Caenorhabditis elegans: one gene and its partner. The protein of the gene in region 2 interacts with the protein of the main gene of each other region in a pairwise test. Each region holds a gene or a part of one and is shown on either strand. Other genes may lie near its edges.

Evidence for each region. The genes of interacting proteins can lie anywhere in the genome.
Region 1: the proteins of gei-4 (region 2) and Y77E11A.7 interact in a two-hybrid assay, tested with the Caenorhabditis elegans proteins (one large-scale study listed by BioGRID).

The regions. Positions count from the first base shown.
Region 1 is NC_003282.8:1,416,809-1,421,559, forward strand, and holds the start of Y77E11A.7 (Dynein heavy chain 1, axonemal), read right to left. Parts: upstream 3,038-4,751; coding exon 2,913-3,037; intron 2,765-2,912; coding exon 2,616-2,764; intron 1,872-2,615; coding exon 1,651-1,871; intron 1,277-1,650; coding exon 896-1,276; intron 1-895. Other genes in the region: jtr-1 (Protein JTB), read left to right, coding at 4,180-4,318, 4,364-4,507, 4,620-4,751.
Region 2 is NC_003281.10:343,770-350,320, forward strand, and holds gei-4 (BZIP domain-containing protein), read right to left. Parts: upstream 4,659-6,551; 5' UTR 4,632-4,658; coding exon 4,449-4,631; intron 4,396-4,448; coding exon 4,276-4,395; intron 4,141-4,275; coding exon 4,072-4,140; coding exon of another isoform or gene 3,919-4,071; intron 3,669-3,918; coding exon 3,270-3,668; intron 3,115-3,269; coding exon of another isoform or gene 3,100-3,114; coding exon 2,999-3,099; intron 2,740-2,998; coding exon 2,520-2,739; intron 2,341-2,519; coding exon 2,254-2,340; intron 2,090-2,253; coding exon 1,697-2,089; intron 1,314-1,696; coding exon of another isoform or gene 1,305-1,313; coding exon 1,170-1,304; 3' UTR 537-1,169; downstream 1-536.

The sequences.
Region 1 (4,751 bases), on a different chromosome or scaffold from region 2:
TCAATTTTCGGTATATTTTTTTAATGAAACATGTCATTTTTTTCGGTTAAAAATATGACTTTAGGTAATTTTTGTAATGAAATTTCCAATTTTTTCGGTTAAAAATCCTTTTTTTTGTCATTTTAGCCTGAAAAATGCTATTTTTTAAGTAAAAACCCCCGATTTTAGGTCAATTTTGGTGTGAAATTTTCAAATTTTTCGGTTATTTTTCGGAATCCCCGCATTTTTTTTCCACTACAACGTAAATTTTCAGAGCTGTAGCTCAAAATTGCGTGAAATCTGGTGTTTTGGGTTACTGTAGTCGGTGTTTGCGTACTTTCGGGGCTACCGTAACCCGGAAATTCTGAAACATGAGCTAGAAGCACAGAAAACCGATTTTAGAAGTGAAAATTTGCGGCAAAATCGAATTCGGTGATGAAAATCAAAGAATATCGACTCTAAAAGCATGAAAAATGTAATTTTTCGGGTAAAAATTCGATTTAGGTCATTTTTTGATGAAAAATTCAATTTTTCCGGTCAAAAACTATTTCTTCACATAAAAATCCCGATTATTGTTTATTTAGAAGTAAAAAAATGTCATTTTTGGGTGAAAAATTCAATTTTCGGTATATTTTTTTTCTTCATTCTTTTTGAAATTTTAGAATGAAAAAAAAAACCATTTTTGGGTGAAAAATCCTTTTTTGTAATTTCAGTATGAAAAATGTCATTTTTTTCGGTAAAAAATATGACTTTAGGTAATTTTTGTAATGAAATTTCCTTTTTTTTTTCGGTTAAAAATCCATTTTTTTGCCATTAGCCTGAAAAATGCTATTTTTTAGGTAAAAACCCCGATTTTAGGTCAATTTTTGTGTGAAATTTTCAAATTTTTCGGTTAAAAACTGCATTTCCACCGCACCTTTTTGCAAATTCTATTCTCCATATTCGAATAATACCAATTCAACACATAATGTGCAGTTTCGGCAGTTCTTCTCGACGTTTTCACATGATTTCCCTCTATTTCCACAAAAATTTTCTTCTTCGAGCTCGTCGATTTGCCACGATTCCACAAATAACTATCAATATAATAATCGGTATTTTTTAGTCCGTGACGGGGTTCAACAAGGAAATTCTGAGGCCCTTTACGTGTTTCATCGATTGTCAACGGGAATTCTTTCTGAACTTCATGTTCTTCGTAGCAACGGAAATAAAGGAAATGGGCAGCTTTGTTGGGAATTGAGAGATCCGAAGATTTGAGATTGAGAGTTTCTCCGGTGAATGAGGTGGCTGCGGCGACACGCTGCAAAACTTTTTTGAGACGGTTTTTGCTGGTTTTTTAGAGGATTTCTGTGCAAAAATTGGGGTTTTTTTTCTGTGATTTTAGACGCTTTCTGAAGGCTTTTCGCAGGTATTTGAAAGTGAGTTTTCGGAATTTTAGGGCATTATTTTGGCTCTTTTTAAGCAGCTTTTTACAGTGAATTTTCTGTGAAATTTCGGCTATTTCTGGTCGATTTTTGATCGTTTTCAGAGCATTTGAAACTTTACTTTGCCATTTTTAGTGGATTCTCGTTTTAGGTGTGGTTTTTGCTCATTTTCACAGGATTTTTCAAGTAAAAATCCTCATTTTTCAGGGTTTTTTTCGGTGAAAAAATGCCATTTTCCGCGATAAATCACCTGCATTGTGGTGACGAGGTGTTCGTCTTCATTTTGATACGGTACCTTTCTAGTCGGAGTCGGACGCCCTTGATATTTCATTGATGATATTGTAACCTCATTTGCAACCGAAAAATCACTGTTTAAGACCATTTGAGCGTCGATTTTCTCGCGTTTCAAAGCCATTTCCATTTCAATTTCCATTGTTTGAGTGTCCATGTGATCGTCGAGCACTGACGCGTCTGGAAATTGAGAATTTTTGAGATTTTAGGGGTTTTTCAATTAAAATTTGGCCTTTTTCGGGAAGTTTTAGCTTCAAAAATGACATTTTTTGGGAATTTTCTAAATGAAATTTTAATTTTTTGGGGAATTTTTAGGTTGAAAATTGGATTTTTTGGGTTTTTTCGAAGTGAAATTCGAATTTTTAGAGTTTTTAGCTTGAAAATTAAAATTTTCGGGATTTTTTGAGTGAAAATCTGATTTTTTAAGAGATTTTAGCTTGAAAATTAACATTTTCAGGTAAAAATCCGGGGTTTAAAGAATTTTTTGGCGAAAAATTGGTTTCTTAAATGAAAATCGAGTTTTAAGACAAATTTCATAGAAAACTGTAACATTTTCCGGTAGTAGCTTCTGATTTTCAGCCGAAAACTGAATTTTAAAGTAAAAACCTGAGTTCTAGGCAGTTTCTCCTTGAAAACGCGAGCATTTAGGTTAAATTTTAGAATTTTGAAGTGAAAAAATTACATTTTTTAGGTAAAAAATGAACGTTTTAATGGGAAATTGCAAATTTAGAGTCGACAATCGACTTTTCAGCACTTTTCCAATGAAAAAACACATTTTTTGATTAAAAACTGATTTTTTTAAAGCAAAATCGTAAATTTTGGTATTTTCCCCCTAAAAATCGCCAATTTTGCCTGATCATTGAGGATTTTCGCCAATTTTTCCGCGTAAAAATCGCATTTTCATGTAGAAAATCCAATTTTTACCGATTTCAGTGTTGGAAACATCGATTTCCTCCTCTAAAATCGGGCTTTGGTGGTGTTTCTGGTGAACTTGGAGCTCGTGCTCGCCTGGGGTCATATCTCGCTCCTGGTCGACTGAAAGTGGCTCTGGTGTCGTGGATTCTGGGACTTTTCTGAAAAAAAACGAGCAAATTTAGAGATTTTTAGGAGAATTGGAATAGAAACCCGAGATTTTTAAAGGTTTTTTCACTATTTATAGGTCTAAAGTGCTGAAAATTTTGATTTTTCTTTTATATTTTTGGATTTTTCTCGTCTACTCACGCCATTTGTGCAGAAATTGTAGATTTCGGTGTGAGTTGAGCTGTAGGAATAACTTTTTCGAAGACTTCATCTTGTTTGGCGGCGAGCAGCTTTGCGGACGGTGTACGAACTTTTCTCGTCTCCATTTCTGAAAAAAAATCGTTTGAAAATATGGTTTTTTCGCTGAAAAATAAAGAAAAAAGACTAAATTTGCCCAAAATTTGAGAAAAAATTTCGAAAAATAAATTACAGTACGCTTTAAAGGGACAGCAGTGAATTTCACCTTCGTGGCGAGACCCGTTGTGGCAAAAACAGCATGCGCCTTTAAAGTTTACGGTGCTTAATTGAAATTTTGAATTTGTTTTCGAAAACATTCAAATTTCGATCGAATTTTTCGGTTTTTTCGATTCAAAATCAATTTTCGCTTGATTTTCCTGAGAAAACTACGCATTTCCGACAAAATTCAAATAAAAAGAGCCGCGGGGGCCGTGAGAAAAAATGTGGCCGAAGAATACAAAAATTCGACGGGAATGGGACGACGGACGGGGCCGAATCAATTGTGTTTTCTCAGCCACAGATGTTCACGGTGAGTGAGGAGACGCAGTGAAGCGCGCGCGCACGCGACGCGCAACCGCGTCTCGAGTGTGCAAGGTGGGATTGGAGCGCGTTTGTGTGGATAGGGCTGTGTCGATTTACGGAGCGTCGTGGATTTTTTTTAAAGGGGATTTCCGGTTTTTGAGGAGGATTTTTGTGATTTTTTCCTAGTTATTGGTTAATTTCCAGCAAAAAATGAATTTTTTTACGTTAGATTGTAACGGAGAATTTTATAATTCTGCAAATTATAAATATTTATTATTGGTTTAAATTAATTTTTTATCCGAAAAAAAAAACCAAGAAAAAATGTTGAAAAATAAATTTTAATGAGTTTTTTGTATTTCGTTTCAAGACCTGCTGAAAAGTTAATCTTCATGTACCTTTAAACTTACAGTAAAATAGTTTTTACGGTTTTGAAGCCATTTATTAACAATTTTTCGTACGGAAATTCATTAAAAGTTTATATACTAATAATGAAACCCATTGTCATATTTTTTGGCAAACGTAACTCGCAAGTTTCAGTTAAGTTTCAAACTTTGTCAAAAATCAGCAAATAAATGTATTTCGTTGCGAGACCCAACACAGAATTTGCCTCTATGCACCTTTAAAAATTACAGTACGAAATTAATTAATTTCTTTCTCAATTTCAAGCCAAAATAACTCATTTTCCCTCATTTTTTTTTGCAGAAAAACGATGGAATACTGCAGTACAAAGCAAATTTCCACGTTTGTCCTCGCCCTAATCGGTTTTTCGATTCTCGTATTCTTCATCGAAGAGTACACGGAGGAAAGTGAGATGAACAGCGAAATGGAGATGAAAAAAGCGTTTTATAGTAAGATTTCCACCTAAAAACTTGGAAAAAAAGTTGAATTTTCAGAGACGGAACACGGCGGAACCACCGGAAAACTGGAAAAAGTGGTGACGGAATATCCAGCGGAAGAATGTTGGAAGCATGAGCCATTTGAAGTGGTCACCCAGTGTGCACCGTGCAAGGATTTCGAGATTAAGGCTATTAAAGCTGGTAGGGAGATAAAGAATTAGGAAAAATTCAGAAAAATCGCAATTTTTACCTTAAAAACCCGCAAAAAACGACTTTTTCACCAGAAAATCAAAAATTTATCCTATTTTTCCAGGTCATTGCCTAAAAACCGGCTATTTCGATCGTGTAAACTGCTCCAAATCGTCGACAACTGTGCTCCGCCCGTGTCCATCTCCAAAACAATCCCGCCGCCACGAGTTTTACCTGTTCTACGTGGTAAATGCCG
Region 2 (6,551 bases):
ATATCGGAAAATGCACGTTATCAATGGAGCGCGCTTGCCCACTGCCACTTTTTTATGGATTTTCCCCAGTTGTCATGAGAATTTTCATATTTTCGGGGTATTTGATAAACAAAATACGTATTTTCTGAAAATAAAAGCTAATTATAAACTCTCGAGAGACCCCGAGTGTAAGGTGCAATTATCGGGATGGAAAATTGAGGGATTTCCTCTCTTCCCAGTGCGAACAGCAAGAAAATTATTATTTTCCGCAAGAAATAGAATTTCGTATTAAATATTTACAACTGAATGCTCTTTTCATGGTTTATTGAGCTTTTTAATTGGATTTCTGGAGAAAATTGGTTGCCAAATATTTAGCAGACCCAACTTTGGTCTGCTAAATAATTTTTCTTGGGTCTGCTAAATATTTAGCAGACCCAATTTGGCTTGCCACGTGGCAAATATCGATTTTTTTCTATTACAATTTTTGTAAAAGAAAGTAGATAAACGCTGAAAAAAACACGCTAAAAAAAGGAATTTTCAAATCGGAAACTCAGGAATAAACTTCAATTTTTATTCTAATTAATCGTCAATATTCAAATTCGACGAAAATTTTCAGATTACCAAATATTTGGAAATTTGGAGAGGATTTTGTGTGGGAGAGGGATGGGGATAGAGTATAAGAATTTCGAGACGCAGGGTGAATATTTTCTTTAAAACAAGAAATGGGGGAAAAAAAGGATAATGTAAAAATAACATGGATTTTCAGGTAGTTCTAGATGGGGGTGGGTTTAAGGCAGATTTCACGGTAGCGCAGGGTTTGTTCGGATATTTGAGAGGAGGTTCTTGAGAATGAGAATATCTGGAAATTATTGGTAATGGGGGTTTCAGAAAAATGAAACAAAAAATTGGGTCACAGTGAAAATTAGAAATGGAAAGTTGAATAAAACGTTAAAAAATTAACAATTAAGAGGAAGAAAACTTATTTTTTGGGGCTTTTTTTGCAAACTTTTTTCAATTTTTAGTGGTTTTTTTTGTTGAATTTTTTGATTAAAAAAAGATAAAAAACTACGCGATTTTCAGTAAATAATACAGATGCAATTTTCAGAGGAAAGAAAAACAATGGACAAAGAAGAAGAAAAAAGAACAGAAAGAGAAGATTTGAAAAAAAAAGAACAGGAATTATTATATTATTAGGTTCTATAAGGATTGTTCAATATTTGTTGAGACTGTCCCTGCTGCTGCTGCTGGCCTTGTTGCTGTTGTCCCTGATTTTGGATAATCATGCCAGAAGTGTAGATGTTCTGAGGAATCGATTGGGACGACTGCTGAAAATCCTAAAGTTTGATTAGTTGGATGATTCTAGAATTGGGGAGATTTGAGTAAAAATCAATTTTTTTTTTGAAATTTGGGTCTGCTAAATATTTAGCATACCAACTTTGGGTCTGCTAAATATTTAGCAGACCAACTTTGGGTCTGCTAAATATTTAGCATACCCACTTTGGGTCTGCTAAATATTTAGCATACCCACTTTGGGTCTGCTAAATATTTAGCATACCCACTTTGGGTCTGCTAAATATTTAGCATACCAACTTCGGGCCTGCTAAATATTTAGCATACCAACTTTGGGTCTGCTAAATAGTTAGCATACCCAACCTCGAGTTTTATAGCAAAATTCCGCTCAAAAACTCATTTTTTCCTAGTTTTCATCGATATTCACCTGGTGTGACACCTGAATCTGCTGCTGTTGCATGTGTCCTTGATGGAGCACCTGGTGCTGTCCAATCCCATTGTTTCCCTGATTTCCAACCAACTGTTGGTGCTGTTGCTGACCATTCGAGATTATATAGGCCTGTGGCGGTGGTGTAACCGAGCGTGGCGTTCCCGACGACTGATTCGCGCGTTGTCGGAGAAGGATCTGCTGAGCGTGCTGTGTGCGCTTGACGACGTCACGTTCCAACGAGGAGAGAGCGTCCATATCGTCCTTTTTGGCGGGGGTGCCGGTGCCCATTGTGATGGTTCCAGAGGATCCGACGGCCATCTGTCCGGCGCTGATCATGTCGTCCATCTCGTTGCGACGACGCTTTGGAGTGTAGCGTTTTTGATTGTACGACTGAAAAATTAAAAATTAAAATGTTTTTTTTTTTTTTGAAATTTTGTTTTTCGAAAACACACATGCGCAAAGCCTACACACAACAAGCATTCTCATTCTCAATTTCAGTATCCAAAATTCAAAAAAAAGAAGAAGAAAAATAAAAGAAAAAAGGTTTCACTAACGTCTCCGAGATCGAGATCATGGTCGATTTGCGTGTCAGATTGCTCATGAGAGGGCCAAGACTCTTCTTTCGGTTCTTGTTTCGCGACCTACAACAAAATTTAGGAGTCTGAGATCTCGGAGAGTTGGGGAAGAAACCCGGGGTTTTTTTTTGGATTCGCTAGCGCAAATTTTCAAATTTTTCGTGCTCAAAAATAACTAAAAGTCATCGCAAGACCCTCTCTGTCTCTCGTTGGTGATTGATTAGTTGTAGCAAAAATATATTCACCTTTCTCTGATCAGGCGTCATTCGCTGGTAGCGAAGACGTGCCGCTTCGGCTCGTTTCGCGTTTCGGACCACAATCTGCTGAGCACGATCCAGTGCTTCTCCGTTGATACGGCCTATAGGCATGGCGAGCAGCATCTCTTCTTCCATACGACGGCGGCGGAACGCTTCTGTCCTTCGTTGATTGTAGACGCGCTTCTCGTCATCGTTCATTCGATGGTATCTGGAAATTTGGAGGTTTTTTGATCGAAAATGTGTGGAAACTCAGGTGAATTTCGCAATTGTTGGGTCTGCTAAATATTTAGCAGACCAAAGATGGGTATGCTAAATATTTAGCAGACCCAAATAAATATTTAGCAGACCAAAGTTGGGTATGCTAAATATTTAGCAGACCCATTCTGAATATTTAGCAGACCCAAGTTTGGTATGGTAAATATTTAGCAGACCCAAGCTATTCTGATTCCCCCGAATCTCTTCCTTACCGTTGACGAGCCGCCTCCGCTTTTTTCGCATTCTGCGTCTTGATGTGCAACCGGACAGCCTCGTCGTCCTTCTGTGGATCTCCTGTAGCCATTCCACATGCCTGAAACTCCGATTTCTGGAATGTTACGTCACGGTAGCAGCGGAAAAATTACAAATTTTGTGTGTTAGGGAGGAGAGATTTTACCAAAAATAGATTTTCACCCAATTAAATTTTCCTCTTCTCCGCTAATTTTCCAGATTTTCTGCTAGAATTCAATGTTCTATATTCACCTTAATCGCGCTCATCGCGTTCTGCATCTGCCGCATACGTCTCCGCGTATTGTGCGCCCGGCGCTCTTCCGGCGTCATTCTAGCGTAACGTGTACGGGCGGCCTCTGCCCACTTGGCCCGCATTCTCTTCTCTCTGAGCTGTTCGGTGATGTCCGGATCCTCTTGAATGTCATTTGTCTCCCGCAAAATCGATTCGAGCTCCTCCATCTCCTTCTCACGTTGCCGTTTTCGCTTCTGCGCCAACGTTCTTTTCAGGTTTAACTCTCGTTTCTCTTCGTTTGATAGTCGGTGATAACGCATTCGGGCGGCTTCTGCCTGTCGCGCCTTCTTTACTCGATCCTTCTCGCCTTTGTCGGGTGACGAGGAGAGTTTAACATTCATTCCTTCTACTTGTAGGTCCTGAAATGTTTCTGAGGTGTGCTCGGTGAGTTCGCTGCGTGATTTCATTCAATTCGTGTTTTCAGTGTGTTGAAACTTAAAATTCGCATTAAAACTCGAGAAATGGACAAATTCTGCTCGATTTCGCATCTTGGGTCTGCTAAATATTTAGCATACCCAACTTGGGCCTGCTAAATATTTAGCATACCCACCTTTGGTCTGCTAATTATTTAGCAGACCATAGTTGCAAAACTAAGCAAGTTCCAGTAACTTATCGACTTTTTGAGCAAATTTTTTGAAAAATCCGCTCAAATGCGAAAATCCACGCGGATTTCGAGCTGCAAAATTCAAAATTCCTTGAAAAAATCACTGAATAACACGAAATTCTCCCCAAAAAAAAACAAAGAAAAAACAACGAATTTACCACATCTCCTACTTTCAACTGAGGTATTTGTTGATTGTATGATCCAACTGATTGTTGTATTGAAGACATCTATAAAATAAATCACGATTCACAAACACAACCACAATTACGATAGAATTTACGGTAAAAAATGAGGAAAATCGAGATTTTTCGAGATTTCCGCCATTTTTTTAAGCCAAATCGCACGATTTTTACGATTTTTACCTGAACTGGCTGCTGATTATTCCACGACGTTGATGTTGAAGGTGTCGTACTGTCGATAAAATAAGCGTCAAGCATATTAACTAAACTCTTCTCTTCTCCCATCCGCCGCTGAGGTGTTTGCTGAAATTAAATAAAATTGAACATTTTCACTCGATTTCCTGAAAATCCCCTACCGTCACTGAATTAGGTATAAAAGTTGCGGAATTAGAGGAATGAAAATTGTTCGCATTTGAATTTGAATACGTCGTCGGCTGATAGGAGTTCTGTTGAAATTGCGATATTCCGTGTAGCTGCTGATTTTGATTACCGCCCGAGCGGGGATCCGAACTGTATGTGTATTGTATATTCTGCTGCATTTTTTATTATTTTTTGTGTTTCCGAGCCTGAAAAAATTGGAATTTTAGGTTTTTAAGCTAGTTTCCGATGAGAATTGCGATTTAATAAGGATATAATTGTGCTGGAAACAATTTTAATCACTTGAAAAATTAATTTTTTGAAGAAAAACCAAGGAAAACCAGGAAAACCAAAGAAAAATAAGAAATTAAATGGAGAAAGTGAGAAAAATAGAGAAGCAGATAAGTTTCGAATTCAAATTTGCCGGAGTGTCACTGGAGCGCACTTGCCTCCTTCTCAATTTTTCGAATTTCATAAGACTAGAATAATGAAAACACTGCTTAAAATGACTGGAACAAAAGAAGAATACATGAATTTTGATTGAAAAATTGAAAAATAAAATTGAAAACAACGTATCTCACTGCAAAAGCTTAAAAAATTCTTATTATAGTCCCAGCATGTACTAATTTCGACGGAATTGCGCCAAATTTTCACTGATCCACGTGGAATTTTCTGAATTTTACTGAAAATGCAAAAATCTTAGTTTCTTTTCGTGTTGGAGCTGTGTGCACAGGTGCCCAGGTGCACTGCTTGAACATGGTGGCCGTGAAAGAGAAAACTCGGTCAGTCCCTCTAAATCCTGCGGAAAAGGTCCTGCTGATCCACTTTTAAGCTAGTTTCAGCAAATCCAGAGGTATTTTGGGTTCCAGAGGCAGAGTTAGCATTCTAGAAGAGCAATGAATTTTGGTGGCCGACCTTTTATATCCGCGGTCCCCACGAAAAAGTCTCAGAGTGTCTCATTTCGGTTTGATCTGCGTAGATCTACAAAAAATGCCGGAGTTGAGGCGCAGAGTTCTCAACTGATTTTGCATGGTTAAGAACTTGCTGACGTCACATTTTTATGGGCCAAAAATTTCCGCATTTTTTTGTAGATCAAACCATAGTAGGACAGCCTGACACCACGAGGGCCCCGTATCCAAGTACCTGAGCCTAAAGCCTAATGTAATGGTTCTAATACCGTCTTCCAATTCCTATCGCTGTGGGTTCTCTGAAAATCCCTCCGAATTTTCCCATTTCACGGCCAAGGCATCAAATCCAACCTGTACCTCTCCGTTTCAAGTCGATTTTTAGAATTCAAATTTGTCCTCTTCGCGCCTAAACCGCCCATGCTCTTCCCATCATCACTGTTAACCACACTATTTTGTTGCCTGCCTGCCTTCTGTCTCTGCGCTCCCAAAATCAGCGGAAAAGAGTGTGTGATGGCGGATGGATGCGGTTGGGGATGGTAAGAAGAAGAAGAAGTGTAGGGAGATGAAGGGAACAAGACGGGGGGCAAAAAGTAGTAGTAGTAGAAGAGGAAGAAGACTAAGAGAAAACGAAACATATACACAAAAGAAGAGGACGATTTGGGGCGCATAGGACGAGAGGGAGGAGAGATTGGAGACGGGCGGGGCATTGTGTACGAGGGGAGGCCGACCGCGACGCGGAGACGCGTTGCACACTCGCATACACAATGCGCGCTGCGGAGAGTCCAAACATCACTAGACACTGTGCCGAGTGGCGGAGATCACGAGACACCCGGCACGAGAGAGCGCGCCCGTCGTGGAGTGTGTGTGCTTAGAGGCCGTGACGACAGCGTATCGATTGTGGAGAGTGCGTGGAGGAGTGCCGAATGAATGGGTAACGTGATGCGGAGAGAAAGATGGGGAGAGATGGATCGGAGGGTGCGGCAGACTCGAAAACAAGAGAGGCGAATGACGGCCGACAATAACTCTCAGGCACTCTCAGTGAGGAAAGAAGAAGGAGAAGAAGCACAGGAGATAGTATAAGGAGAGGAAGAGGAGCAGAACTTGGCTTCTACCGTATTCAGAGGCTATGATATCAGGCCTCTTGGGTCTGTTAAAATAGAGAACCCAGGCCTTAGAAAAGCTTGAAAGTTGTTG